Linked DNA regions of Rattus norvegicus. The protein of the gene in region 2 interacts with the protein of the main gene of each other region in a pairwise test. Links are inferred from orthologs where the notes say so. Each region holds a gene or a part of one and is shown on either strand. Other genes may lie near its edges. The genes, in order: Wwtr1, Tead4, Ssx2ip, Lzts2, Trim27, Ccdc172 and Golga2.

Region 1 (3,500 bases), on a different chromosome or scaffold from region 2:
AGCTGTGCTGGTTTGCCAGCCAACCCCAGCATCTGCCTGGCTCCCTGTGCCTAGCACTGAACTAGCCTTTTCACGTGGGTTTAGGGATGTTTCCCACTTTCTCCTGAGAAATATCCAAAGCTCCAAGTGTTAGAATTTAAAATACTGTGCTCATGAAAGACGTTTCCAAATACAACCTATTTTAAAGTTAAGTCAGGAGCTGAGCACATACCTACAGCAGCAGATCAAGCGTTTGGCATGCACAATGACGAGTCTGATAACCAGAAGCTCGAGCGCACACATACACACACACGCACACACACACACACACACACACACACACACACACACGCAGGCACACGTGTACACACAAATGAACACTGAATGATAGTAGTCTGCTCACATCTAATTTGGCATTTCTTTGTTATGCCAACACTTGCTACCCATAAGCTTCATAGATTTGGAACTTGTGGGAAGTTTTGGGTTACAAACACTGGTTGCAGGACCAGGGCAGTCTTCCTTTATTGGCTGGGAGGGTCAGCTGCTTGAGGATATAATGCATGCGTGCAAGCTTTAGACCAGTAATTACAGAGTTCCTGGAAGACTCCTGACTCTGCAGAATGTTTACTCGGCTCTGCTCATCTACAGTGGACCTTACCTTAGTGTTTTTAAAGTGAAGTCAAGGAGCAGAAAATACCCCCAATTCTAAAAGCCAGACTGGAACACTGTAAATGTAGACTGAATGGGAAGAAGCCACCTGAATATTATATAGGAGGCTCAAACTCTGGCTGTGTTGTCTAACAAGCTGTGACTCATCATGTTGCTTCGTCTGTCTAATACTGCTACAGCATGGTGTTGCGATTTTAAGAAGAAAGGTATCCAAGCCCCTTGCCTGCTGGCAGGCTCACATGTGTACTCTGCAGGAACCAAATCACAGGAAGGCAGCATAGGCCCTCCTTGCCTCACCTGGTGTGAACGAAGACACGAGGTCAAGATTCTTCAAAGAATTCAAGGAAATACAGAGAATGTCGGAAGCACAGTGGAAGCCAGTATCAGTGTCACAGATTATGCGGCAAAAACATCAAGATGTAACTCAATGAAGGAAACACTCCAGTGCATGAGGAGATACAAGGCTAACAGAGCAGTTTCTGAACCCCCAAACCGATTGGGTAGACTCTGTCAGGTCTCAGAGAAACTCAGAACAGGTCTTGCTTAGTACCTGTGGCTCCTCCCAGCACGTCTCACCCCTTCCCACCCAAACCTTTCCAGCCCAGGGGATGGGCTTCCTTTCCCTTCCTTCCCCCAGCTTCTCTGCCTGATATAACCTCAGCCATTTGGGCCATGTGCTCTCTAGGTTCTCCACTCTTGGCTCTCAGCTTCTCTCTTGGCCTCTAAGTCCTAGGTTCCTCTCCTCTTCTCTCTCCTCTCTCTCATGGCCAGGTTCAGTCCAGACGCTTCCAGAAGCCTCTGGCTGAATCCTCCCTCACATATCTACAATCAAACCCTTCTCAATCATAACCTTAATTTCATTCAGACTCCTTCAGCTCGGAGTCAGAGGTTGGGACTTACCAAGATTGGGCTGGGACACTGCCATGGACCTCTGTGGCACCGATGTGGAAGTGATGGTGGGGTGGAGGTTCACATGATTCAGAGGCTGATTCATCACCTTCCTAGGGTCTTGCCATGTGGTGATTTTTTCTATGTGACTAAAGGAAGGAAAACAATTAGTTACTTGTGTAAATGTCAGAATTGCCATCGACATCACCAGTAACAGTATCTCGGTGACCATCTTCCCCTTGGGTCAGCTTACAGGCGGCTGATGAATTGCTTTTGGTTCTACCAGGGACTTCCTTAGCCCATTTGGCCTTGCATTGTGGTTGAGCCACGAGAAGGACTGCAGATGGTTTAACCCAAGGAGCTTAGACACACACACACATCACACCTCAGCTGCTTCCTCACACCCTCAACTCCCCACTCACAGATACCACTGAGAGCTGCCCTCCAAAAGCTGGCCCCATGCTGTTTCCAAACCACATCACAGACCATTCTTACTGCTTTACAGACCTGTCCCACTTCACCACGCCCAACCTTTGGTGGATGGAGGTGAGTGGGTGGGTGAGTAAATTCACACAGTGCCCCTACATCGATGTATAAATGGTATCAGAGATCTTTCCATGTCCACAAAGACAGTAAGGTTTGCCTCTTCCCGTCAAGCCCTACACAATGCCTAAGACACATAAGGAATGTGACTGCTCTTTCTGTTAACCACACATGAAGTTTGAATAACAAAGGTATTATCTCTGGTGTCCAAAACTACCATAAACCCTCTGGGTTTACACTAGGTCTAGAAATTTCCTTTCTGTAAAGTTGTATTTAGTTTGGCTTTGCTTGGCTTTCTTTCTTTCTTTCTTTCCTTCTTTCTTTCTTTCTTTCTTTTTCTCTCTCTTTCTTTCTTTCTTTCTTCCTTTATTTATTTATTTCTTCATTTTGTTTTGTTTTTTCTTTCCTCACAGTTAAATGCTTCTTCCAAGACTGGGATGTGTTACCGTGGGGAACTCTTCTATTGCCAAGAGCGAAGACATGGATGCCCTTCTAAGAGTTTCATAGTGAATATAATTTTAAAATAAAATAAACAATAAACCAGGGGCTGAGTGCAAGCCTAGCTCTGCGCCGGACGTGGGGAAGGAGAAGTGGGGTCAGGGTTAACTTTGATTACTGAATGTCAAGCACAGTGAGTCAGCAGTGAGCTAGAACAATAATAAAAAGCCATGCTGTAAAAACCAAGCCTAAAGAGATGAGAATGCAGGACCCTGATCACTGAGAGACAGAGATACAGAGGGGGGGGGGAGGGGGAGAGGGAGAGGGAGAGGGAGAGGGAGAGGGAGAGGGAGAGGGAGAGGGAGAGGGAGAGGGAGAGGGAGAGGGAGAATCTTCAGTTTGACAGCCTAATTCTGTTTTTAAGCCTTGGATAAATCCTTTAGTCAGCCTTTGGACATAAGGTAACTCAGATAGCCCCAGGTTCTTTGTCATAAGCCTTCAGAATAAGGAACTGTCACAAACAATAAATAGTTGGCATCACTGAACTAAATGTCAAAATTAAGTAAATCCCCTTTAGCAAAGCAGTTAAAGCTAAGGCCAGCCCCATCCAAACCTTGTTTCCAGGATAGGATTAGCTGGCTCATTGGTTGAAAATGCTCAGCACATACACAAGAGGCCCTCAAAGCTCCAGAGCCCAAGCAAAGCTGGGCACTGTGGTAAATGCCTATAATTCCGTGCCCCAGAGGCAAGATGGGAAGTAGAGAACCCCTAGGACACGGCTCAAAACACCTGAGGTGGTGATCCTCTGACTAAGGCACGCTCTTGCAACAAATGTATACCCATATCTATTCATCTATTCATTGATCTATCTGTGTGTATGTGTCTGTGACTCTGTCTCTCATACACATACACACACACACATCCAAGATTTCCAAGGTAGGCTTGTCCTAAATAAATATTTTCTGTTCTGGTACCATAAACCC
Region 2 (4,002 bases):
CCCACCCTGGGCCTGGACTTTGACTGAGGATCCTACAGTGCTCAGCAAATGTCCTGAGAGCAGGCAAAAGTAGAAATGAGAATATGGGAGCTAGAGAATTATGTTATCTGGTGGAAGCCTCCCCATGGCACGGGACCCACAGAAAATGCCCAATTCATGTTGGCAAAATAAATATGATACGTGGTGAGGTTGCCCAAAGGGTGCCCAGAGAATAATCACACAAAATCCTCTAGTCTCACATGTTACAAGACTCCAGGTCCAATCCTCAACATGAAAAGGGGAAGAGGGAGGGGGTTGCCAAAGCAAGCTTAGGAAAACATAGGATACACCATTTCCAAGGGCCCTGGAATGAAGGGGAAGGGGGAGGGGGTTGCCAAAGCAAGCTTAGGAAAACATAGGATACACCATTTCCAAGGGCCCTGGGATGTGCTAACAGACGCTTTAGAGACACTGAATTTTCAGAGCAAGCTTTCTGCACTGGCTTTAGTTACTCACCCCTCATTCCCACCCCGCAATGTTACTCATCAGGAAACGGAGCCCAAGAGCCTTAAAGGTAGTGAGTATCAAGATTCATGTCCAGGTCTGTCTGACCCCACACCTGTGTGTTCCCTACCCCATGAGAGCTGCCCTTGTGGACACGGCCTGAGCAGTATGGAATATGAGGTATGTCCCAGCTGACTATCTACATCAGCAGGAGAGAAGGAAAGATAAACACAAGAGCCCCTCCCCCTCACTCCTGACATGGTTCTCTGTTCCTTCCTTCCGAGAAACCACAGCCATCACTTTTGTGTTGTGTTAATGAGGGAGAACCCTGATGCCAAGTCTGTGACTCTCACACCACCGTCCTGTCAAGATCCTGGACTCAGCTACCAAGTCGGAGGCAGCCCTCACCTTCCTGTCACTAAAGCTTTCCTACAGTGAGCTATCAAGTTTCCCCACAGAAACAAGGTCATCTAGCTAACTGTGAAGAATGAGGGGGAAGCTGAGGCAGAGGATATCCAGTTTGAACCCAGCTTGGGTTTCAGAGCAAGACCCTGGCTATTCAGGAATGAGAGATTTTCTTCTCCTCATTGCTTCAAGGTTCCTACAGAGAGAACACTAACACCCCTGTCCTTGAAGGCAACTTTGAAACTCTATCAACCGCCCAACAAACACTATCCAACAACCCATGTGGTCAGCTAAGCCTACGGACTCCAGTCTGTAATTTTTTTTTTTTTTTTTTTTGAGGCAGGAGAATGAAAGCCACCTCCTGCTGGGGTAGTAGGACCAGGCCAGCCTAGACTACAAGAGACTTCTGTCTCAAAAGAAAACAACCTAACAAGCTCCTTTCCTTTTAGAGGGTCCACCCCCATAAACGTTACCAACAACCCATCCTAGCCCCTGGGGGCAAAGATCTCAGCTTTGCTTAGCCTACCAGCAGTTCCCTAAAGGATTCCGCCAGAACAGGATCCACACTCCCTCAGAAAGACAGCTGCCTGGAAGGGGGGCAGGTGTAGGCAGCTTCCTGCCAGCAAAGCTCAACCCAGCAGAGCTGGGGTGAGGAGTGGGGGGCGGGAGGGCCGGGAGGGGACACTTCCAACTACTACTGTCAAATTCTCCCTGAACACAAAGAACTTGGAGACATTGTCCCCTGCTCCGGTTCTGCAAGAAGTCAGAGCCAGAACCAACATCCTCAGAGCGACGAGGGGTGTTGGAGAGGAGGCATCACACACCCACCCGGACACTTAGGGTTTCAGACAGCACCCTCTTCAAGTAGCAATGCACTCACTGTCGCATTGTTTAGCACAAACAAATACACCTCCTGAAAGCAAGGTGAGTCACAGCGCGCAGATATCTCTTCCTCAGGTACACCCAAAACTTAAGGATGCTGGCGCAGGTAAGTAATACCTCGCTTGAACTCACTGAGTGGGATGGATGTGGGTGTGCCTGGAGCCCCCTGACACGTGTGTGCACCGCGGCGCGCCCCTGGGCTGCCTGCTAGAGTAGAGTGCCTTGGAGTTTGGGAGCAATGGTCCATCACTTCTCACCCATAGGGCCCACGGCGTCTCAAACCCTGAGGACCTCTGCAGAAGGTCCAAGCAACACACCTCCCTTCTGTGCTCCCTTCTCCAGGCTGAAAAGTAGAAAAGGGCCTGACTGAGGCTCATCAGTCTCCAACTTCTAAAACTTCTGCCAGGCGACCTTGCTCTGTCCAGTCTCTGGACTCCGCCGCCCCCACGTGCCCCACTGGTCCCCTAGTGCTGCCCGAGACCATGCAGGACGCGGATGTCGCCCGAACTCAGCAGCCTTACCGGTCCCAGGGTTCAGGAGGCGGGGTGGGAGCGCTCGGCCGGCTGCACCAAGTCCACGCGGGGGGCCAAGTCTTCCAGCCGCGGCGACGGCTTCGGGGCCCGAGCGTGTAGCTGAGGCGGTCCCCACCCCCGGGGCCGGAGTTTGCAGAGGAGCCCGGTAGGAATGCGCGGAATGGGCGCTGGAATGAGACGCGCGCGGCTGGGGAGGGAGCGGAGGGAGTGGCGCTGCCACCCGCACCTTAGGGAGGAGACCCGGCCTGAGAGAGGCTGGGCTCCGCGGCTGGGCGGAGCCCGGGGGACCGCGGGCGACCACGGGACGGGGCACGACGGAGACACCCGAGAACCCCGCGGACCCCTCGGCGCCTCTGGCCACTCGTGCCCACACGCCTTGACTGTGATCTACGGATTTCCCGCTCACCTCCAGCTTCCCACATCCCCGAGTGGCATTGAATCCCTCCACCACCTCCTGCTAAAAACCGTCCCCTCCGCCGGGGTGGGGCGCGCCTCGCTGTGCTCCTGGAGTACGCGGACCGGAGCAGGAAGGGCTGTTCCCTTCCCCGAGGCTGCTACGGAGGACACTCGCTCCGGGAGCAGGAAGCAGGAACTCCCGGCTCTGCTCCCAGATCCGCCACCGCTTTCCCTCTCCAGCCCTCTCCAACATCAGCCTTTCAGTTCTTTCCTTGTCCCTTGGGATCTGCAGAACTGTCACTTCTCAGAAAGCAGGGAAGAAAGGGGAGACCCGTCATGGACTCTGTTGTAACTCCATGAATCTTTATCCTGTGAATAGGTCCACCGGATGCTGGGACAATAATAAAGAGTGGGTCCCAGCAGTGGTTCACAGAGAGCTGGAACTTAGCTGCTGATGACCCAGGGTCCGGGACAGCTTGGCCATGAAGTTAGAAGTCTGAGTTTCAAAGAAGTACGTCAGATCAATTTAGAAGAAACACGTGGGCTCGGGCTAGGAGTCTTAGAACCATTTGGCTTAAAGCAATTAGTTACTACCTCGCTCCGGCACTCACCTCTTCACTTTGGGAAACTTAAAATCAAAGAAAAGCCTTTGCTATTCCCCCCAAATCAAACAATCTCTGAAGCACTATCATTAAATTTTTATTGCCGTGGCTCTCCCAGTCTGATCTGGTGAAACAAACTCTGGAAGGCGGCAACTCTCCAGATCTATCTTAGCGTTTACCCAGCACGAACAACTCAAGATGGAGATGGAGGTAATAAATGAGGGAAGGATAGCCTGGGAGACGTTGAAAAGTAAGTGTTATAAATGCCAGGGTTGTACCTAAGAGAGGGGATCTAAAGAGTCTGCGGAAATGCCAGCATCATGGGACTGAGAATCCCGTCTTACAAAGGGAAGACTTTGAAGGATTGCAGCCCTCGTTTGGATGTATAAATTCTGGTATGCTTATTAAATAGTGAGTCATATCAAAGCTTGGGCACATCCCATTCGCATGAAAAGGACATCGCAGGGCAGCGTATCTGTGAGTGTAGAGTACAAACTGTCCCACCACTTAATCCAGCAGCCCTTCCTTGACTCCGCTGCCAAGCTAAGTGCAGAAGCCCCTGCCTTCAAGAAGTTCACGGTTGAAGCAAGACAGTAATTGTTAATGCAAATCCACATTCAAGAACAAAAACCAATGCAATTCAAGGCAAAGGGGCGACTTTAACCAGTTTGATGTCTACTCCCAGCCCTGTGTGTGCTAGG
Region 3 (3,500 bases), on a different chromosome or scaffold from region 2:
CTTCCTATTAAATGGACATGAGACGATGAGCACGTTTCATGCAAAGCCCTGTGGGAGCTACAGTGAGAACTGTACTGTGCCCTTCACGGCTCATGGCACTGGGATGAGACTCACCAGTTAGAACATTTCCATATATTATAAGTGGACTTCATTTATCAACTAGGAACTTTCGTGCTGGAGAGACGGCTGAGAGGTTCAGAGTGTGCGCTGCTCCTGAGAGGCCCCCTAGCTCCCTGTTAGGTGGTTTATAGCTCCCTGTACAAGCTCCAGGGAACCAGTGCCTCTGGCCTCTACGAAACCCACATTCGCATGATTTGCCGGCAACACAGACAGCACTGGACATTGAGGGACACTGTTGTCTGAGGTTTGTTCTGAAGCCAAGCGCACTCCTCTCAGTGTGAAACCCGGAACAAACCAGCAGAGTCTGACCCTGGCTGTGAGCAGCCGCTCTGAGCCCACAGCACTGTTTGTGGGGCCCGCCCTGCACACCGTGGCGCAGAAGTTACCTTGGTTATCAAGTTTTTCCACATGGCTTTTCAGAATTCTCCACTGCTTCCTGATGCTGTTTGTAAGCTGCTCCCTGACAGTGTCACAGGAAAGGCTCCACACACCATCTCTGCTCAGCTCCCCAGCGTCGTCTTCTACATCGGAGATGACCTACGGCACAGAGGGCACACACAAGCGTCACAGTGGCCTTACACCCAGGCACTGGACCAGACCGATAAGACCTATTAGCTAATACCTAATACAAACAAGTTAACACTGGCGACACAGACACTCCTGATCCAGTTAAATCTCTACCAATCTGCCTAACGGATGTCTGGGCAGAGGCAGCTCCTGTCTATGCAGCACTGTGCTGGATGCTGCCATATCTCAACCCTCAAACTGTGCACGAAGGCAAAGTGCAGGCTTAGAGAAGCAGGCCAGGCCCACAGAGCCCAGAGGTCGGACGCGGCTCTGGGTAGTGTCAACTTGTCTGCAGGTCAGGCGACTTCACTAAACGACCTCTAGAGATCAGCTAGAGTCAGACATTAATCCTCATTCTCCTCATGCCATCTCAGGGATGACACGTTTCTCTGATGTACTAAGAACACGTCCAATGTTGCTAAGTTACCTCAGAGAAACAGTGCTAACGGTGCAGGCCAAGCACACATCTACATGAAATAGCCCTTATTTGTTATCAACATCCATGGCAGGCAGACATACTTGAATAATTCAAAACAATACCTTTCAGGCGTGCCAGAAGCCATCTAGAAGCCAGAAACTAGCAAGTGACCTTCCTGAGATGGTTCTGTCATAGACTATAAAGCTGTGACAGATTCACTCCTTTAGGTAAGACTGAGGAGATTACATTTGAGAAAAGATCCCTGTTATTATTAAATTATATATAAATACAAATATATTTAATATTAAGTATATAAATATATTATTAAATATATATTAATATATAACTAAGTATTGACCATTCTCTGGAGCAGATCTCTGCAGACCTACGGAGATGGACTGTCCGGTAGTGATGCTATATAGACAAATAGGTAATGATTTTATGGAATTCCTGATTTCATTCAAATAATTTTAGGTAAAAAGCTTTTAGAGACGGTCTTAGAAAGATGTAACAGAATGACATCTTGCTAGAAAGATGTAATAAGGTTAGAATCAAGAGTGAAATGCTACTACTCTTCATAACAGTAAGTAATAAAATCCAACGAGCTTTCACAGTTACACTAAAAAGGGAAATAGACTTGGGACAATTTTGTGATCAAGGAAAGACATTTAGGTCGAAGGAGAGGGTCACAAGTGTGCACTATGATAAGGCAAGGCCATGTAAAATCTGTTGCTTTGAATTTATATCAACATCCTTCTATAACTCCCATTTTGTGTAACATTTTATTTATGAAGTAATGTTCTAAAGAACTTTTTGTCTAAGAAGGCATTAAAAGGCCAGAGAAAAGAAAGTTGTTGAATGGTTTGGCTTGGGGAGCTTCGCCCCATCCATCCATCATCCATCCATCCATCCATCCATCCATCCACCATCCACCCACCCACCCACCATCCATCCATCCATCCATCCATCATCCACCCACCTACCCAGTCAACCAGCCAGCCAAATGTTTATGTCTGCTTGTCTGTCTACATGTGTGTAGTATATATACATATATGTAAACATGCATGAATACTTGTGGAGTTGATTGTGACAGTAGGGCCCAGCCAGAGTGTGAGTGTATGAACGTGTATGTGTCTGTGCATATTCGCCTGTGTAAAGCATCTTAATTCTTTTCCTTTCCTTCCTCTCTTGTTCATAAAGAGTTAACCAGCTTAGACAGAGAGGCTTCTGGCAGACTCACCAGAAAAAGGTACTAGCAATGGTCTTTTTTCTAAATTCCCTGTGGCTAAACAGCATGTGTTAATCGCCAGGTACTAGCGTTTATTAAAGCACAAATAATATTAACAGTTAGGTTTTCAGTACTTAATGAATCATGGAACAGTGAGAGTTACAGAACGGTAAGAAAGTTAAGTTTCCCTAGTGCTTATTTAAGCCTAAAGAGTTCAGTAAAGCACAGAGAGTTACGTTTAATAAAGAACAGAGTTAAAGAGAAAAGAAGCCAACAGTTTTTAACCATAGAATAAACAACGTTTTTAAGATTTTTTTTTATAAGTTATCAACAAGCATTTATGGCAGTTAGAGAGCTAGGAGGCCAGAGAGCAGCCATCTTTAAAGCTATGCCCAACGCTGGCTGTATCCAGCCTCAACCCACTCCTGGCCAAGCTGGCTCCCAGCACAGGAGAAAGAAGAGAGAAGATTAAAAGAAAGGTTATTAGGTCCCCTCAGTCAGGTCATTAGGTCACTCAGAGGTCACATCAGCACTGGTCGGGTCTAAGCAGAGAAGGACGACAAAGACGTGTCGCACTCTGGCCCTGGCCATCAGTGTTTTTCAGGCCTGCGACCCACTGTGCCTCTTACAATACTGACTGGGCATCCCTCAGCACACACTCAGGGCCCGAGCACTTGGGACTTAAGATCCTTTTGGATTTTGTAGCATCTCGTTCCTCTCTGTCTGTCTGTCGCCCTAAGTCCTCCTCGCATGCGTGTGTAGACACCTTATATAAATGGCAGGGAAGCCTAAACATGAACTGTTTCAAATGTACACTGCATGGGCAATGAGAAAACACTTTTGTGCGTGGCTCCATCCCCATGGAGCTGTCTTAGGAAATCAAATGTGGAATTTCAATGAAGCGCTGTGCCACTCTAAGCCGCAGCTGCGGGCGGCTGGGTCTCCGTTTTTCAGATCATGGCACTAAAATCTTAGGGCACACCTGCTGTTAGCCTTAACAGTCTGGTGAGACGGCTCAGCAGGTAAAGGGACCTGCCACCAAACTGGACAGCCCGAGCGGATACCTGGGACCCACACAGTGGGGTGGTAGAAGAGAACTGGTTCCCACAAGTCCTCTGTTCTCCATACCATAACATCTTAAACATTACAATGCAGGCAACGATTTCC
Region 4 (4,160 bases), on a different chromosome or scaffold from region 2:
AGGCAGGTGGATCTCTGAGTTCAAGGCCAGCCTGGTCTACAGAGCAAGTTCCAGGGCAGCCAGGGCTACATGGAGAAACCCTGTCTTGGAAAAGCAAACAAACAAAACAAAAGAATTCACATGTACAGCTGAGCATAGGAGCACAAGGTTAGAATCCCAGCTGTCTGAGGCAAGAGGATCCCTGAGTTTGAGGCCCACTTGTGGTGCATGGCACAACCCTGTTTGTTTTTGTCATGTCCCCCTACATCTCGTGTGTGTGTGTGTGTGTGTGTGTGTGTGTGTGTGTGTGTGCACGAACTATCTGCCTAAACTCATACTGCATATTTTCATGTACGTTTTCACAGATTCTCTTCATTTTTATGGTCCTGTCTATGTACTCACACCACAAGTGTACACATACACACTCTCTCATGGAGGCCTCTGTCCACTTCTTGGCCCCTGAGCTACATGATGACTTCAGCAGATGCCTAAGTCTTGGTCATCGGCAGCCTTGGGACTGGGAGGGAGTTCCGGGTGCAGGCTTGCTATCCTTCCCAGGAAGGAGCAAGACTGAGGATGGGGGGTGGGGGTGGAGCCATCTTCCTTGAGATCCTACCAGATGTGGTAATGGGCTCCTGCTCAAATTCCATAGGAGTTATTCCGAAGATCAACTAAAGCAGGAAGGTTTATAAAGGTTGACAGTGGGACAGGGCCTGTGTAGGCTACCTTAGTCCCAAGTGATGGCAGAAGCTAAGAGTTGACATAGAAACAAGCACAGCCTATATCGACCTCTGGGAAGTAGGAGACCCCAGAGGGCATCTGTGGGTTCCTAAGACCTGTGAGGTTTCCTGTTTGGCCAGCTCCACCCTCAACGCCGCCTGAGTGTCTGGGAGAAACTGAGGCCTAGCAGTGGGAGGCTGGACAGTGCCTGGCTTTGGTTCTTTGTTCCCTAATTACCATCTGAGTTACTGATTGTATCCCTGACTTGTCCTCTGCCCAAATAGCCCAGGAATGAGGCCACCTGTCCCAAGAGAGTAGGGACATGTACTGGGAGCTAGTAGTTAGGGATCTCTGCCCAATCTGAGACTTCGCTATATAGGGGATACAGGTTTGGGCTTAACTGGGTCTCCTCTGTCAAGGAACCCTGCATAACCTCTTAGTTCTCCCATTCTTTCATCTCTGTTTGGTTGAGTTGTTCCTTATCCTTGTTCCAGACTAGAGTTGAGGCCCAGAGGGACTTGAGGTTCATTGCCAGTTCTTGGGAGGTGAAGCTGTTTCACTATATGGGGAATGTTCTATCTGGAAGAGGGGGTCAGGAGAAGGCTAATAGGGGGAGGATCCTCAAGGTGCAGGGACTCTGACGCCAATGCCTTGCTCGCAGGTTGCCCTGGAGGCCCCTGGCCAGGCCTGAACCTCTGCCACCATGGCCATTGTGCACACTCTGCCAGTGCCACTGGAGCCCGCACGTGAGACAGCCACTGCCCCACAAACTCCAGCAATGGGCAGCGTGAGCAGTCTTATCTCAGGCCGGCCCTGTCCTGGGGGACCTGCTCCTCAACGCCACCATGGTGTCCCTGGGCCTACCTTCTTCCGCCAGCAGGATGGGCTGCTCCGGGGTGGCTATGAGGCCCAGGAACCACTCTGCCCAGCTGTGCCACCCAGGAAGACTGTCCCAGGCAACAGCTTTACCTATGTCAATGAGGACTTCCGGACAGAGTCACCTCCCAGCCCAAGCAGTGATGTCGAAGATCCCCGAGAACATCAGGCACACAATGCCCACCTCCGTGGGCCCCCACCAAAGCTCATCCCTGTCTCTGGAAGGCTGGAGAAGGTAACGGGCAGCCCTCTTGGGAGGATCTGGGTGGGGTCGAGCTCCCCGCTGGGGAAGCTAGAATTTGGAGGCATGGACTCTGTCTTATCTCTCTTTCTGGCTCAGGGAGATAACCTGTCTGAGCCCCATTTTCTGTGTCTTTACAGTTAAGGTTAGAGGATAATCTTTATAGGCTCCTGTTAGAATTAATACTCCCAAATGAACAATATAGTAGTTCGTGTTTCTCTCTCTCTCTCTCTCTCTCTCTCTCTCTCTCTCTCTCTCTCTCTCTCTTTTGGTGTTTGAGACAGGGTTTTTCTCTGTAGCTTGACTGTCTTGGAACTCACTATGTAGACCAGGCTGGCCTTGAACTCACAGAGATCTGCTTGCTTCTGCCTCCCAAGTACTGGGATTAAAGGCATTTGTTACCACTTCCAGCCAAGTTGCTTTAGTTATTATAGAGGTGTGTGGTGTGGTATGGTGTGGTGTTGTGTGTGTGTGTGTGTGTGTGTGTGTGTGTGTGTGTGTGTGCGTGCGCGTGCGTGTGTGTGTTTGGGCGAAGCCTTTGTTTACCTTTATTCTGGGACTGACTCTATCCTGTTTTTAGTAGGAGAGGAGGATAATGTTTTGCTTGCGTGGCTATTATCATGATTAAAAATAAGCATTTTGAATTACTTAACATAAGTAGACGTTTAGAAACGGTGCCGCCGGGGTTGGGGATTTAGCTCAGTGGTAGAGCACTTGCCTAGCAAGCACAAGGCCCTGGGTTTGGTCCCCAGCTCCAAAAAGAAAGAGAGAGAGAGAGAGAGAGAGAGAAAGAAAGAAAGAAAGAAACGGTGGGAACCATTGTTTTTCATTTATAGGGGTGAGAACCCTGTATGGGAAAGCCAAGTAGTATGATGATTTTGTAAGATCAAGGTGGGCCAGAGAGATGGCTCAGAGGTTAAGAGCACTGACTGCTCTTCCAGAGGTCCTGAGTTCAAATCCTAGCAACCACATGGTAGCTCACAACCATCTGTAATGGGATCCGATGCCCTCTTCTGGTGTGTCTGAAGACAGTGACAGTGTACTCATACACGTTCCTAAGTTCAGATCCAGTACCCATATAAAAAGGTGGCCGTTGTGGCAAAGGACTGGAATCTCAGCACTTGTCAGGCAGAGACAGGCAGATCCCTGGGGCTTGCTAGCCAGTCAAGACTAGCTGGATTGATGAAATCCAGGTCCAGAGATTGTGTAAAAACTTAGGTGGGAAGTGATTGAGGAAAGCTCCTAACTTTGACACTTTGACATTTGATCTTCACACATAGGCACCACGTATCCATACTCATACATATGCACCCCCCTCTGTGTGTGTGTGTGTGTGTGTGTGTGTGTTTTGAAAGATCAAGTAAGCAAAGTGGGCTTGGTATCACACACCTGTAATCTTGAAGGGCTTGTGTTCAAGGGGATACATAGTGAGTGGACCCAGGCCAATAGAGTAAAACCCTGTCTCACAACAATACTAAATTTTTTAAAAAGAAAGGGGTCGGGCAGATCATCCTCACAGTGTCACATGCTACCTCATTTCAGAATATGGAGAAGATCCTGATCCGACCAACAGCCTTCAAGCCAGTGCTACCCAAACCTCGAGGGGCGCCATCCCTACCTGGCTTCCTTGGTCCTCGAGCTGCTGGGCTATCTGGGAGCCAGGGCAGCCTGACACAGCTGTTTGGGGGGCCAGCCTCTTCCTCCTCCTCTTCCTCTTCCTCCTCTGCTACTGACAAACCCTTGGCACTCAGCGGTTGGGCCAGTGGCTGCCCTTCAGGAACACTGTCAGACTCTGGCCGAAATTCTTTATCAAGCTTGCCCACCTACAGCACCGGAGGTGCCGAGCCAACTGCCAACTCCCCAGGTGGGCACCTGCCCTCCCACGGCCCTGGCCGAGGGCCACTGCCTGGTCCAGCCCGAGGGGTCCCTACTGGGCCCTCCCATTCAGACAGTGGCCGGTCCTCCTCCAGCAAAAGCACAGGTTCCTTGGGGGCTCGTGTAGCTGGGGGGCTCTTGGGCAGTGGGGCCCGGGCCTCCCCTGGCAGCAGTTCGGGTGGAGACCGCTCCCCACCCCCTCCACCACCTCCACCCCCTTCGGATGAGGCCTTGCTACACTGTGTCCTGGAAGGGAAGCTTCGAGACCGAGAGGCAGAGCTGCAGCAGCTGCGGGACAGTGTGGATGAGAGTGAGGCCGCCGTGTGTCAGGTGCGGCCAGTGGCAGTCCTGGGGCGGTGTGGCTGAATACCCAGGGCCTAGGGACAATTCCTGTTGGGGAGGAAGAGGGTAAAGACTCATGATGTGACACCCCCAAGGCTATGAGCATAACCTTCAAAGCAGTGAGGAG
Region 5 (4,123 bases), on a different chromosome or scaffold from region 2:
ATGACTGGAGCCCATGAACATCTTGCCTGGCAGGCGGAGTCATGAAACAATCACAGTGAAATGGCAGGGTTAGGTGTGCACTCTGTGGACATGACCTGGTATGATCGAGCAAGCACAAGTTTCCTGGATGTGTTTACTTGGTCTCAGTAAGTAATCCATGCCCTGATTTTTTAGGGGGTGCTTATGGGTTCCTCTCCATACAATGTTTCTATTGGTTTGTCTATCTTTCCTACATTTCTAATTCCTCCATGCCTGCATTCCTAGCACTTGGAAGGCAGACAAGGCAAGACTGGAACTTCAGGATCACTCTTAACTATATAATGAACTTAAGATCAACTGGGGCTACCTAAGACATCCTAAAAAACCTAGAGTTCTAAGATTATAAACCAAGTGTGGCAGTGCATACTATAATTCCAGCACTTGGGGAGACTAAGGCAGGAATATGGAGAGTTCAAGACCATCCTGGATTGCATAGTGAAACTATTTCTGAATAAACAAATGGTCAGCAAAATGGCTCTAGAGCAGTCAAGAAAGATTTTACTTGAATCCAGCCAAACCCACTCATTTATGTATTAGACATGGCTGTTTTTGAGATGCAATGACTGAGGTGTTGTGATTTAGCTTGTGTAAATTAACAAAGCTAAAAATACTTATTACTGGCCCCTTTCAGAAAGTTTGCTAAAATCTGACTTGAATTCAACTGTTCCAAGGGCCCCTTATACCTCTTTTAACCTGGATAAGTCTTTCAAAGGTATAAAGTATACAATATAACCTTAGACAAAATTAAGGCTAAAGATCAATTTACTGAGTATATCCAAAGCAGTGTGACTGACACACTGGCACAAGTATTTCTCTCTGGAAAATCCTCCCAAAGCTGATATGATACATTGTATGTTTAAGTTTAGTCTACACAAGATCACTGAGAAGTTTCTTCATCCTGTTTTCAAGCAAGAGGTGTCAAGATCGCACTCACTCAGAGACAGGATGGAGCTAAATGATAGGAATGACAGACACCAAGGGGAAATGCTCTGCTTAGAAGTTTTCATTACACCCTTGCCAAGGCTATCCTGATGCAATGCCTCTCTGCAGGCTGGAGACCTGGACCCTTACCAGGAGCTCAGCTCGTGCCTGCTCCCCCTGTGCCCTCCGTCTCTTCTTCAAGTCTTTCACTCTTCTTAGGTGGTCCAGCCGATTCTGGATTTGCTCCTGAAGAAAGTAAACAGTCAGCCAATTCAGAATTTTGCAGATCTCAGCATCAAAATAGCTACTCTGCTTATGACACAGGAACCCAAACTACAGATGCCAAGGCCGGGCTGGACTCTGTCCTCAGACCACAGTGCCATTCCTGGGAAGAGCCTAAAGCACAGGGTCCAGCACAGCTGTTTTAGAAATTTGTTAAACTCAAGCCACCTACCAGTTCCTAGAAGCATTCTGCACAGGTTATGAGACATCTGGGTAAAGAGGCTCAAAAGGTAAGCTATTCCTCAGACGAATACAGAAAAAAATGATTTATTTTCCTCATGCACAGAACTGGTAAGCATTACTAAATTACAACTTTATTTCCAGTGAGTGAAATGATACAGCTTTGTAAACGTGACTGACATTTGGATGAACTCACATTTAAACAAATCTAACTGTTGGTACATATCCCTGCAGTCCTCAAAACAGACTCATTATCACTTGAGAGTTACTTTATATGTAACATTTTCGAATTACTGTGTAGCTGTGCCAGTGTTTATTCAACAAAGGCCTCTTCAGGTCCTGTGAGTTCACTTCCTCTTCATTAAGTTATCTCCCGAGTCTGAGAGTGGCTAAATGATTTACTCAAGCAGTAAAGAGCTCTGTTCATTTCCATTAGGTTCTAAAACAGGTTACAGGGAAGCGCTGGGGGCTTAGATTAAGTGATAGGCATCGGTCGATGTGAATTCGGCCAGCCAACAGGGGCTGTCTGGTTTGATATCCTGGGCCAGAGCAAGTTCGAGGTGTTCAAGGCCTATGGAAGTGGACATGGCTCCATGTGCATCTCCTTTGTCAAGGGAGGGTCTCCTCGCGCCGTCCCAGCCGCGGCACGCGTTGAGGCAGTTAACAGGGGGCGCTCGGAGAAGGGGTGGGGGTGGGGACGCCTCTGGCCTCGCCAGCTACAGGTTCTCCTTCCGAGTCTGAGCGCGGAGGCTCCGCAGCCGACAGGGAGGAAATGACGGCGGTGGGCCCCACGTCCGGCTCGCCATTTTCTCGGCGGCAAACCAGGAAGCCCCCGGCTCTCCTCTTTGTCCGCCGGCCCGGCCCTACCTTGAAGCCTTCCACAGCCTCCTCCAGCGGCAGCACGCTGTGGCCACGGTGCTCGCGCGAGCGGTCGCACACCACGCAGATGGGCATCTGGTCCTGCTCGCAGTACAGCTTCAGAGGCTCGCGGTGCTTCTCGCACACGCCCATCTCGCCGTCCGGCCCCGACGGCCGCTCGGTGCGCAGTTGCTTCACCAGCTGGGTCACGTTGGCCAGGTGCCGGTTGGGCCGCATGTGGCGCTGCGGGAAGGTCTCCCGGCACTGCGGGCACGACACGTTAGTCTCCGCGGCACCCCAGCAGCGGGCCAGGCACGCGCAACAGATGTTGTGGCCGCAGTCGAGCATCATGGGTTCCACAAAGTATTGAAGACACACGGGGCAGGTGGTCTCCTGCTGCAGGGACTCGGCCACGCTCCCTGAGGCCATGGCGCGAGCCGGCTGGGCCGCAGGGCATGAGCCCGGAGCCGAGCTCTGGCAGAGCCCGGCGCTCTCTCTCGGCTTCTCAGATCCGGAGCGGGGTGGGGCCTCCGGCGCGGGGATCCTAGACGCGTGCGGAGCTCTGGGGCGGCCAGACCCGTCCCCGCACAGCTGCACCTCACGGACAGCGCGGGAAGGCCTGGGCCCCAGGGCCCGGCTGAGAGCCGAGCAGAGGGGTGTCGGGAACCCGGCGCTGCAGGATGGCTCACCGGGCAACGTGGCCGCGTCGGAAGGGATCCCAGGGCCGCGCAGACTCCTAAGGGCCGAGCGGAAGAGGTGGGCCGGGGGCGGGGCCTGGCTTCCCGCGCCGCTCTCCTCCGGGGCGGGAAGGCGGGTTTCCTCGGCGCAGTCCTGGAGCCCCGGTACCCAGCCCGGGAGTCGGTGGTGGTTGCCCTTTGCAGTGGGAGCAGGGTGTCCCTGGCAGTGGGGTCGGGATACTCTAAGCTTTGGTGGATCCGTAGTCCTTTGCCGGGTGTCTTCTTAGTGCCTAGGCCTTGGCTCCTTTAAATGCAAGGTGGCTTTGCATAAGTGCCGGAAAACTGGGCTGAGAGACCAGCTAAGCCCCTCCCAGTGTGTGAAGCACTCTGAAACACACCCAACTCCAGGCGATAATAATCGCCAGAAAAAGGTTTTATTATCAGCAACTTTTCTCAGTGGCAGAAATGGAGAAGCCCACTTCTACTTCCACCCTAAAGTAAGTTTGTTTATCGTTCCGAGCCTCATTTTCTTCTCGCGTGAAATGGGGGATTGATAGAATCCAGACCAGAGTGCTCACCAGACCCTGATACCTACTGAAGTCCTTCCCCTTCTCTCTAGCCTTCCGGCTACTAGGGAGCTGCCTCACCGAGAGCCCGCTTGTGAGTCCCTAACTTCTTAACAGGCTCCTCTGGTGCCCAGTTTCTCACTTCCTCAAGTGAAGTAGCCAGACCAGACATATCAAAGAGCTACTTGATGACACACTTCTTCCCTACCACCTGCTGAGGAAGGAGCCTGGCCGCGGGTTCCTATGAGACCCTAGAAGAAACGACCCTGATTCTGCCACGTGGGCTTCATTCTCGAACACTCCCCAGCCCCCACCTCCCCCTGGCGCCTGTGGCGCGGCCAGAAATTCTGATTGTCCACCGCCTATCTGCCTATGGCGCTAATAAAGTTCTTACTCCCAGCAGTCTGTTTCAGTGTCTTCCTTGAGCCCCCATACACTGTTGCTTTCAGGAATTTTCCCCATCCGTGAGTTAAACTTTTTAAAACACAGCTTGAGCCATAAAGATTTTTATCCATTAGTTTAAATGAAGTGTCCAGTGCATTGAACGGCATTGAGTAGAACCTAAAACTTGCTTGTTTCTGCCCAATTGAGAATTCTGCG
Region 6 (4,244 bases), on a different chromosome or scaffold from region 2:
ACGCCTGCATGTGTATGTATGTGGTATGTGGTATGTGTGTGTATATTTGTATATGGTATGTGTGTGCATGTGCATATGATATGTGTGTAGTATGGTGTATATGTAGTGTGTTGTGTGTGATATATGTGTGGTATGGCATGTATGTAGTGTGTGTGTTGTGGTGTGTGGCATATGTGTGTGCATGTGTGTGGGGGATGTGTGCTTGTGTATGTATGTGGTGTGTGTGGTGGTTATGGTATGTGGTGAGTGTGTGCATGTGTATGAGTGTGTATGTTCCTTTTCTTCTGTTGACTTCTATTTGCCAACCCAACTTTCAAAGCATCTTAAGTCTTCTTCCAGGGAAAGACAGCTACATGAAGGTGCTGTACACCTTTGCCCATGCCACCAGGATTCCCCACTGCCGCTGGCCTACTTTCTCTTTTAGTCCAGAAGTAAGAGCTGGGCTCAATGAATACTCACCCCACATTCTGTCTTAAAAGATAGTTTCTTTTAGTTAAGGGGCAGAGAGGAAAGGTTGGTTGGTTGGTGGGTACTCAGAGTTAGGAGGGATAAAGGCTGGTATTCGACTACACAGAAGGATGGCTACAGTTAATGACCTAGACGACGAACTTTGAAGATTTGTAATATTTTCACCACAGTCAGGATAAATGTTGGCACGGATATATTAATCTGGAGCTGAGCATTACAAAATGCATAACAAATAACATGGAAGCCATAAACATGCCCAACCTTTATTTGTCGAATTATCAAGACCGAGCTCTTTTCTTGTTACTGGCCCTCAGTAGTGAATGCACCTGTGTACAGTGTTGGCTCAGCAACAGATACCAAGAGAATAAAGGTGAATTTAAAACAAAACTAAGTACATTCCTCCCAAAGAAAGAGGGGCTGCAAACAGGAGCGCATGTTGACACTTAGATTTTACAGAGCTGTCCAGGGAGGGTTTTATGATGCATGACAGGATGCAGAGAGAAGAGAGGCCGTTCACCAGGTGGTGAACGGGCAAGAATTGTTTTATCCACAGGAAAATGAAAATTCCTCACAAATATACGCTGTTATTAGAGTAATATAATGTATAAATAAATTTATAACTTACATCCCTTTTACATACAAATTTATATTTAATATGTGATAAAATTAAAAATGTATTAACAAAAAAAAAAAGTCTGAGTGATCAAGTCACTAGACTGCCTCTATGCACTGCTGCCTTAGTTCACCTTCAGGTGTTGGGACATTACTATTGGACATCTGATTCCTCCTTCCAGACCTAGGCCTCTAGCTCTCACCATCTTCACTGTCCATCCCCATCTCTGTGCTCAGAGCACAAGGAGCTCCCCTAACAGCACATTTACTGCCCCTCTCTGGTCAAATCTAGCAACGTTTCCCTCCCAACTCTACTCCGCCGCCCTCTGCTGGCTGTCCAGAGTCCTCTCTCAATGTGCCTGGGGAAGAACCGCCCCCTCTTTGCTACAAAGGGTCTCTCCTACTAAGTCTCTTTTCTCCCTCAAAATTCTATCCATAGTTCAACCACTTCCTTGAAGCAGCCAGGCTCGCTCGGTCCTTACTTTTTAAAAGGCGGAACTTTACAAATGCGGCCGGAGAGAGAAATGAGAGAAAAGATAACTTAGGATGAGACAAGTCCAAAACTGTGGTAGTGAGTTGGAAAGCAGAAAGCCATCATTTGAAAGACACATACGATCCCATTACATCCACGGAGCACACTTAAATTACTTACTGTCTGACATTTATATGCTGCCCTGACTACTTATTGAACAATTATTCTTCCAATGACACTTTTCCTTATAAACATTAACCATCCCACAAAATGGACGGGGAATCCGTTAAGTCTGGATTCCTCCGGGCCACTTCCTGTTAAAAACCAAAGACCGTGGACTCAGAACCTTACACGCTAGACAACGCTGAATGACAGAATATAGCTGCTGAGTTTCCTAGTTGATGGATAAGTAGTTAGTAAATTGCTCCCCAAAGCCAAGTTCAGACACTTCCTCAAGTGATACTTAGCATGGTCTATGCATCCATACCTTGGATTCCAACTTGATCTTTTCTTCATTCAGATCCTCTGTTGCTTTCTTAATTTTCCCGCGACATCTGGCAATTTCTGACCTCACTGTAATACCAACAAAATCTTTACTGGCCTCCGCCTTTCTGAAGCCTCCATCACGGCAGCACTTGGCAGGTGAGTTTTCATCTGTCTTCTGTCCAGGTTGCAAACTCCACTTACAGTGCCCCCTTCCCCTCCAGTCTGTGGGGCAAACACCCAGGTCCAAAAGCCAAATGCCCCCCAAGAGCAAACCCCAGCTCCAAAAGCCAAATGCCCTCTAAGGGCAGGCTCACCTTCCCGCATCACTCTGCGGCTCTCCTCGGCCTGATGCTCAGTGAAGATGATGTGCTGAAACAACGACTCCAGACTCATCTCGGGCCAGCTCACCCTTAATATTTTATAAGGGAGTCTGAGGATCCTGGAAAGCACAATGAAGAGGGTTGTCTGGCTGTTCCCTGCCTGCACCACCCACTCTTGCCCAGCAGAGCCCCAGGGCAGGAGCTCTCGGCTTGTTCCTCCATGCTCGCCCAGAGCCGGGCCCATTCCTCCTCCATGTTCGCCCACAGCCCGGCGTGCTTCTGTGCTGAGTGCAGCCCCCACAGAAAAGGCCTGGGGGACAGATACAGTAACTTTGGCTGGGGACATGCTTCCCCTTCCCAACCCCCTCGCTTTCCCAGGAAAAGATGCCCACAGGCAGAGGCTGGCAACTGACGCCCCCTCAGGTGTGTCCAGCCAAAGGGGCCTCCACCGGCCTCGCGAGAAGTCATCTACGGAAGCCTGGTGGGACCAGTCTGCAGCGACCTGCGCTCACGGGTTCGGGGTCTTTCTAGAGGTGGGACTCCCAGTCTCCAAGTATTATAAAGTGCAAAGTACCCGTGATTCTAAATATAAACTTTTGCAAAGTCGTATCCTCGGAGGCTAGCAAAGACTCCTACAAATGTACAATGTCTGACATTCCACCGTAATCATTCCTTCGTAATCAAAGCATATCTTTTTTGTCTGCCCCGAAATTAATCACTGCCTTTTGTAATCAAGCCTTGGTAATATTAACACTTCGATATCTGTACAATGTGTGTCAGAGACCAAAGTGGTTGCTAATTAAGGCTTAAATGTGAAAGGCACCTTTGGGACTTTTGCATGATATTTTTTTTTTAATTAAGAAATATTTTCAGTTTTGGTAGGTCAAAATATTGACATTGTAATAAACATCTGACTTTACTCTGAATGTAAAACTGACACTGGCTAGACTTTTAAGAAGTAACTTTTAATGTGAAAGTTTGAATGTGCTTAAAATTAAGTAAAATGAAAATTTTGTCACATACACTAGGCTTAATTAATAGCCCACTAATGCCACAATATATTCAGTTAAAAACTTTAATCTATTCTATATTTCTACCTTAATTTTCATCTGGTCATGTCTGCATGAAGTTTAATGTTTGAACTATCAGAATACACACTGAAATTTGAAATAAAGTTAAAAAGAATTAATTACTCAGAGCTATTCAGAAGCTAGTACTGATGAAAATTTTCCCACTGTCTTTTGGGTATCCCTTGTTGACAAGCACTTTTTATTTAAAACCTTGAAGTCCCATGAATAAGGAATGATAACATTATTTTGTTACTTGTGTTTTGATTATAATTAGTAGTTCAATATTTATTATTTATTTGCTAAGCACTCACTTTCTGAACACACTACGTCTATTTAAGATGATTTTGACATTTCTTTTCTAATATAGTTAAGGTGACAGACTGACAGACTCAAAATATACCAGTAAAAATGAGGTCACCGAGCTACTTAGTTGAGTCACTATCTGAAATCTTGATGTGTATTCGTTCTTTTAATCAAGCCAGTTATCCTATTAGAACTATGTTTTTTGTTACTTGAAGGGCTAAGTAACTTGTCCACACTCACGATGGCTAGAATGTAGCCAATTCAGGATTGGAATCCTGTGTCTCAGGAAGAGGCATACTTTGTACAGGAAAGTAAATGGAGACCAAGAAAATGGGAGTTGAGAGTCATGGATTCAGCTGTTATTTTCTTACTATAACACAAACATAGTGGACTTTTGCCATTTCATTTAAAGCTCTTCATGAATGTACTTTGTACCTTTATAGTCCTCTGATACATGTGTGCATGTGTCTAGCTCAGATATAACCAAATTCTTCCATGTACTCAAGGATGGGA
Region 7 (4,090 bases), on a different chromosome or scaffold from region 2:
CCAGGGCCTTGCGCTTGCTAGGCAAGCGCTCTACCACTGAGCTAAATCCCCAACCCTTATAACCTGGTTCTTAAATCCCACTCCTCTTTTCAGAACATTTTCTCTTGCTGGCATGGTGGCACACACCTTTAGTCTCAGTCCTCAAAGCAGAGGCAGGTGGACCTCTGTGATAAGATAAGGATAGCCCAGTCTACACAGCAAGTTCCAGGTTAACCCAGGATAAAGGAAGACCCTGTCTTTATTCTTACTTACTTTTGAGTATGTTTTATGTGCACAAGAGTTTGCCCATATTCACTTATGTGCACTTCATGTATACCTGGTGCACAGAGAGGTCAGAAGAGGATGTCAGAACCCTTGGAACTGGAATCACATAAGATTGTAAACTATCATGTGGGTGCTGAAAATAATACTCAAATACCCTGTCTTTAAAACATATACGTGTGTGTGTGTGTGTGTGTGTGTGTGTGTGTGTGTGTGTGCGTGCACATGGATGTTCGTATACTAGGAGACAGGGTGCATGGGTATGTTATGGTGTACACAAGAATGTCAGAGGACACATGTATGTGTATATGCTGTGAGAGAGAGTACATAGGCATGTCATGGTACATACAACAATGTCAGAGGACAGCCTCAGTGTTGCTTCCTCTTTCCCACTCTCAGAGAACTCTCTCGTTAGCACACACACCAGGCAAGATGGCCTCTCAGTTTCTATAATTCTGTCTTCACCATATAGTTAGCTAGAGAACATCTGAGCTTACAGATTCATGCTGCCATGTCTGGTTTTATATGGAATCTAGAAATTCAGGTCCTCCTGCTTGTGTTGAACTTCTTTACCCAATGAGCCATCTCCCTGTCAAAAGCCAAAGTACTGTCAATAAAACCTCATGTTAATGGTTTTTGTTGTTTTGTTGTTGCTGTTGTTGTTGTTGTTGTTGCTGTTGTTGTTGTTGTGCTGGGGATTGAACCTGGAGTTTTATGTATGAGAGGCCAGAATTCTACTACTAAGCCATATATACACAGCTTCCCTTCAAAACAAAACGAAACAAAACAGGATTGCTGGGCATAGTGGCCTATACCTTTTACCCAGTACTAGGCAGGCAGAGGCAGGCAGATCTGAGTTCAGGGCCAGCCAGGAATACATAGACCTTGTCTCAAAAACAAACACAAAATTAAGTTTAATTTTAAAAAGACTGTATGTGTATGAGGGTAGTTGTTTGTTTTGCCTACATATATGGCTGTACATCATGTACATATGCAGTAACCTAATTGGCCAGAAGAGGGCATAATATGCAACCTCTAGAACTGGAGTTAGAGACAGTTGTTAGCAATACTAGGTGAAGGGAGCTATGCCCAGGTCCTCTGCAAGAGCAACAAGTGCTTTTACCTGCTGAACCTTCTCTCCAGACCCAGTATTAAATATTACATACACCAAGCTGGTATCAAATTCCACATATAGTAAAAAATAACCTTGAAGTCCTGATCCTTCTGCCTCTACTTCCAGAGTCAGGGAAATATAGGCATGTATTGCTCTGCCCAGTTAATGCCATGCCAGGATCCAAGCCAGAGCCTCATACATGGTAGGCAAGCACTCTTGCCAACTGAGCTGAGTCCTGATAAACACCTAACAACTTAGTGCACTCCTAACCCCACTGGGGCCGTTTTATCAACACATATTAAAGACACACAGCAGTACTTCCTAAACGTGCTTCCTAAAGTTTACTTCCTAAACTTTACAATGTGACAGAAGGGCAGAAGCCACGAAGGCAAAGCTTTAGTGAACATGGGACCAGAAAGGGCCTAAGCGTCATCTCAGAGAGAAGTCTTTACAAATCTAAGAAAATGCCATGCCCAACCTTTACAGTTTTTTCTCTCAGAAGAAACATGGGAAAGTGATGCTTCCCATGAGATGCCTCACACGCATCCTGTGGCTCTCATCAGTTTTGAAATGACAATTTGGCTGAATTTCAAGCTGTTAAGTTCAGTTCCCCAAGAAACTGATCAACACTATACATGCATTTTGCTCCAGAGAGATTACAGTCTCTCTAGAGAGCAGAAAACTGAAAAATAACCTAAATGCAAACCAAACCCATTCTTCCATGTCAGCAAGGAACACTGAACTGTGTTGTGTGCTCACATTAATGCTAAGTTAAGGGACTGTGGGTACCTAAAGCGCCTCCGCACTAGATTCCAAACTCGGGCTCCCTTCCAGGTGGAACTAAGTTCTCCACCAGAGAAACAGGAAAGGGGGCATCAACATCAGGTGAGCAGGTGGGGCAATCCAAATCCGACTCGGAGTAGTAATGACAGTTTCGGGGGGGGGGGACTGTGACGTAACTACATTCCACTCCATACTACCAACGCCCGAGTCGCCTACAGGGCCAGGACCCAGGTCCTTGGAGGCAGGTGCCCAGAGAGGTCTGGACTGGAGCGTCCCGAGTCAAGGGCTGAGACCCTGTGTCACTGACCAAAGTCACCTAGGGGCGACTGAGAGGGCGGGGGCTGGGTTGCTGAGGGGGCGGGGCTGGCTGAGAAGACTTCGCTGGGGGGAACCCAGGGAGCTGAAGGGTTCTCTACCTGTGTGTCTCGGGAAAGGCTCGGACTCTATTCATAGTCCTGCTGTTGGAGGAGCTCGGGTGGGGTCAAGGGGCCGCGACCCGGAGCGCTTTACCTTTTTCTTGGCCGCAGCCAATTTGCTCTGCCTGGTTTCTTCCGACATCCCGGGGCGGGGAGGGGGGAAGCGGGGGGGCCACATCACCACGATCCCGGCAGCCACCGCGAAACTGCTTCCGGCAGCTACGACTCCTCAACAAGAGCCAGAGAAGGCGGGTGCAGAGCTTCACTAGGACGCTCGGAAACCCGGCGTGACCTACCTTCTCCAAGCCCATTGGTTGATGAGAATGATGACTGACAGGGAGGCGTGGTCACGCTGTCGCGAGGCGGGAGCGACGGGTGGAGTTAACGACGAAAGCTGCGCGCGCAGCCATGACCCCTCACAGCCACCTATCGGAGGGAGGGGCGGGACAGCTTTAGCTTGGTGCGTGCGCAGCCGGACGTGAGGCAGTTGGTGGTCTCCATCGTCGATTTCTGGTTACCTGAAAAGCAGCCGTTTAACCCCAATCCTGGACCCTTCAGAGTTTAAGCCCACCCCGCTCCGGGTGCCCCGGACCTTAGGGTTCAGGAGGTGGGTGACGAGCGCGCCGCGCTTCATTTCACAGCCCTTTCCCTACTCTTCACTCCTTCCCCCAGACTCCTCACCAGGCCTCTCCATAACCAGTTCTCCACACATTCTCCTCCCTACCTTGCGCACCCTGACCTCAAAGCCCCATCCCCCATCCCGATATCTCGGGTAATGCCCCGGAGTCTGGGTCCGGGCCCAACCCTTTCCCGCTGCGGCTCCCGCACCCCTTTGGTAACCCCATTCTCATCAGCCCTTTCCTCGGGTTCCTCCCCAGGGGTGAGTCAGAATTCAGCCGAATTTACCATGGGGGCTACCGATCGCCGGTGAGTATATCAGCCCCACCCCCTCCCTCTGCATCCCCACCCATCGCCTCCCTCTTCCTGAGCCTTCCGCTGCCAAGCCTACTTCTTTCCTAATTCCACTCCTTTTCCTCTCTCAGATGTGAGGTCCTACCCTCCCATTCCTAGCTGCCCGATGCCTACGCTTCTCCGACCGCTCCTGCCTCCCTCTTCCTGAGCCTTCCGCCGCCAAGCCTAGTTCTTTCCTAATTCCACTCCTTTTCCTCTCTCAGATGTGAGGTCCTACCCTCCCATTCCTAGCTGCCCGATGCCTACGCTTCTCCGACCGCTCCTGCCCGCAGTTTTGTCCCCTGACCCAGCCTGCCACCAGACCTGCATGGCTTCTCAGTAAAGGGATCTGCCTTTAGGCTGTCCACTCCCTAAGCTACTCTTTTTTTGGGGGGGCACCCCCAAAACTCAGTTCATTTCTCATCCCTCAAAGATGGATTTTTAAAGTACTCTTTTTGATGAAATCATGATTCACTCCTTTTTAGTAACTCCTTTTGTTCTTTATAACCCTATCCCCTTTGAGACAGTTGTTAAAACCAAAGATGGGAGGAGAAAGACCACCAAC

The links.
Region 1: the proteins of Tead4 (region 2) and Wwtr1 interact in binary tests that used the Homo sapiens proteins (3 or more experiments, as listed by UniProt). The two-hybrid records come from large-scale screens. The link is inferred for Rattus norvegicus from reciprocal best matches to the Homo sapiens genes TEAD4 and WWTR1.
Region 3: the proteins of Tead4 (region 2) and Ssx2ip interact in a two-hybrid assay, tested with the Homo sapiens proteins (2 studies listed by BioGRID). The two-hybrid records come from large-scale screens. The link is inferred for Rattus norvegicus from reciprocal best matches to the Homo sapiens genes TEAD4 and SSX2IP.
Region 4: the proteins of Tead4 (region 2) and Lzts2 interact in binary tests that used the Homo sapiens proteins (3 or more experiments, as listed by UniProt). The two-hybrid records come from large-scale screens. The link is inferred for Rattus norvegicus from reciprocal best matches to the Homo sapiens genes TEAD4 and LZTS2.
Region 5: the proteins of Tead4 (region 2) and Trim27 interact in binary tests that used the Homo sapiens proteins (3 or more experiments, as listed by UniProt). The two-hybrid records come from large-scale screens. The link is inferred for Rattus norvegicus from reciprocal best matches to the Homo sapiens genes TEAD4 and TRIM27.
Region 6: the proteins of Tead4 (region 2) and Ccdc172 interact in binary tests that used the Homo sapiens proteins (3 or more experiments, as listed by UniProt). The two-hybrid records come from large-scale screens. The link is inferred for Rattus norvegicus from reciprocal best matches to the Homo sapiens genes TEAD4 and CCDC172.
Region 7: the proteins of Tead4 (region 2) and Golga2 interact in binary tests that used the Homo sapiens proteins (3 or more experiments, as listed by UniProt). The two-hybrid records come from large-scale screens. The link is inferred for Rattus norvegicus from reciprocal best matches to the Homo sapiens genes TEAD4 and GOLGA2.

The regions. Positions count from the first base shown.
Region 1 is NC_086020.1:143,843,942-143,847,441, forward strand, and holds part of Wwtr1 (WW domain-containing transcription regulator protein 1), read right to left. Parts: intron 1,686-3,500; coding exon 1,549-1,685; intron 1-1,548. UniProt on the Homo sapiens protein: Transcriptional coactivator which acts as a downstream regulatory target in the Hippo signaling pathway that plays a pivotal role in organ size control and tumor suppression by restricting proliferation and promoting apoptosis.
Region 2 is NC_086022.1:163,255,543-163,259,544, forward strand, and holds the start of Tead4 (TEA domain transcription factor 4), read right to left. Parts: upstream 2,801-4,002; 5' UTR 2,292-2,800; intron 1-2,291. UniProt on the Homo sapiens protein: Transcription factor which plays a key role in the Hippo signaling pathway, a pathway involved in organ size control and tumor suppression by restricting proliferation and promoting apoptosis.
Region 3 is NC_086020.1:237,978,964-237,982,463, reverse strand, and holds part of Ssx2ip (afadin- and alpha-actinin-binding protein), read right to left. Parts: intron 658-3,500; coding exon 507-657; intron 1-506. UniProt on the Homo sapiens protein: Belongs to an adhesion system, which plays a role in the organization of homotypic, interneuronal and heterotypic cell-cell adherens junctions (AJs).
Region 4 is NC_086019.1:253,830,739-253,834,898, forward strand, and holds the start of Lzts2 (leucine zipper putative tumor suppressor 2), read left to right. Parts: upstream 1-1,360; 5' UTR 1,361-1,402; coding exon 1,403-1,810; intron 1,811-3,358; coding exon 3,359-4,021; intron 4,022-4,160. UniProt on the Homo sapiens protein: Negative regulator of katanin-mediated microtubule severing and release from the centrosome. Required for central spindle formation and the completion of cytokinesis.
Region 5 is NC_086035.1:48,243,349-48,247,471, forward strand, and holds the start of Trim27 (zinc finger protein RFP), read right to left. Parts: upstream 2,710-4,123; coding exon 2,290-2,709; intron 1,758-2,289; exon of another isoform or gene 1,619-1,757; intron 1,553-1,618; exon of another isoform or gene 1,415-1,552; intron 1,207-1,414; coding exon 1,111-1,206; intron 1-1,110. Other genes in the region: uncharacterized protein LOC134482717, read left to right, coding at 2,708-3,036, 3,641-3,677. UniProt on the Homo sapiens protein: E3 ubiquitin-protein ligase that mediates ubiquitination of various substrates and thereby plays a role in diffent processes including proliferation, innate immunity, apoptosis, immune response or autophagy.
Region 6 is NC_086019.1:267,613,920-267,618,163, reverse strand, and holds the start of Ccdc172 (coiled-coil domain-containing protein 172), read right to left. Parts: upstream 2,801-4,244; 5' UTR 2,751-2,800; intron 2,478-2,750; 5' UTR 2,432-2,477; coding exon 2,353-2,431; intron 2,126-2,352; coding exon 2,040-2,125; intron 1-2,039.
Region 7 is NC_086021.1:35,980,493-35,984,582, reverse strand, and holds the start of Golga2 (golgin subfamily A member 2), read right to left. Parts: upstream 2,801-4,090; 5' UTR 2,753-2,800; coding exon 2,669-2,752; exon of another isoform or gene 2,575-2,668; intron 1-2,574. UniProt on the Homo sapiens protein: Peripheral membrane component of the cis-Golgi stack that acts as a membrane skeleton that maintains the structure of the Golgi apparatus, and as a vesicle thether that facilitates vesicle fusion to the Golgi membrane.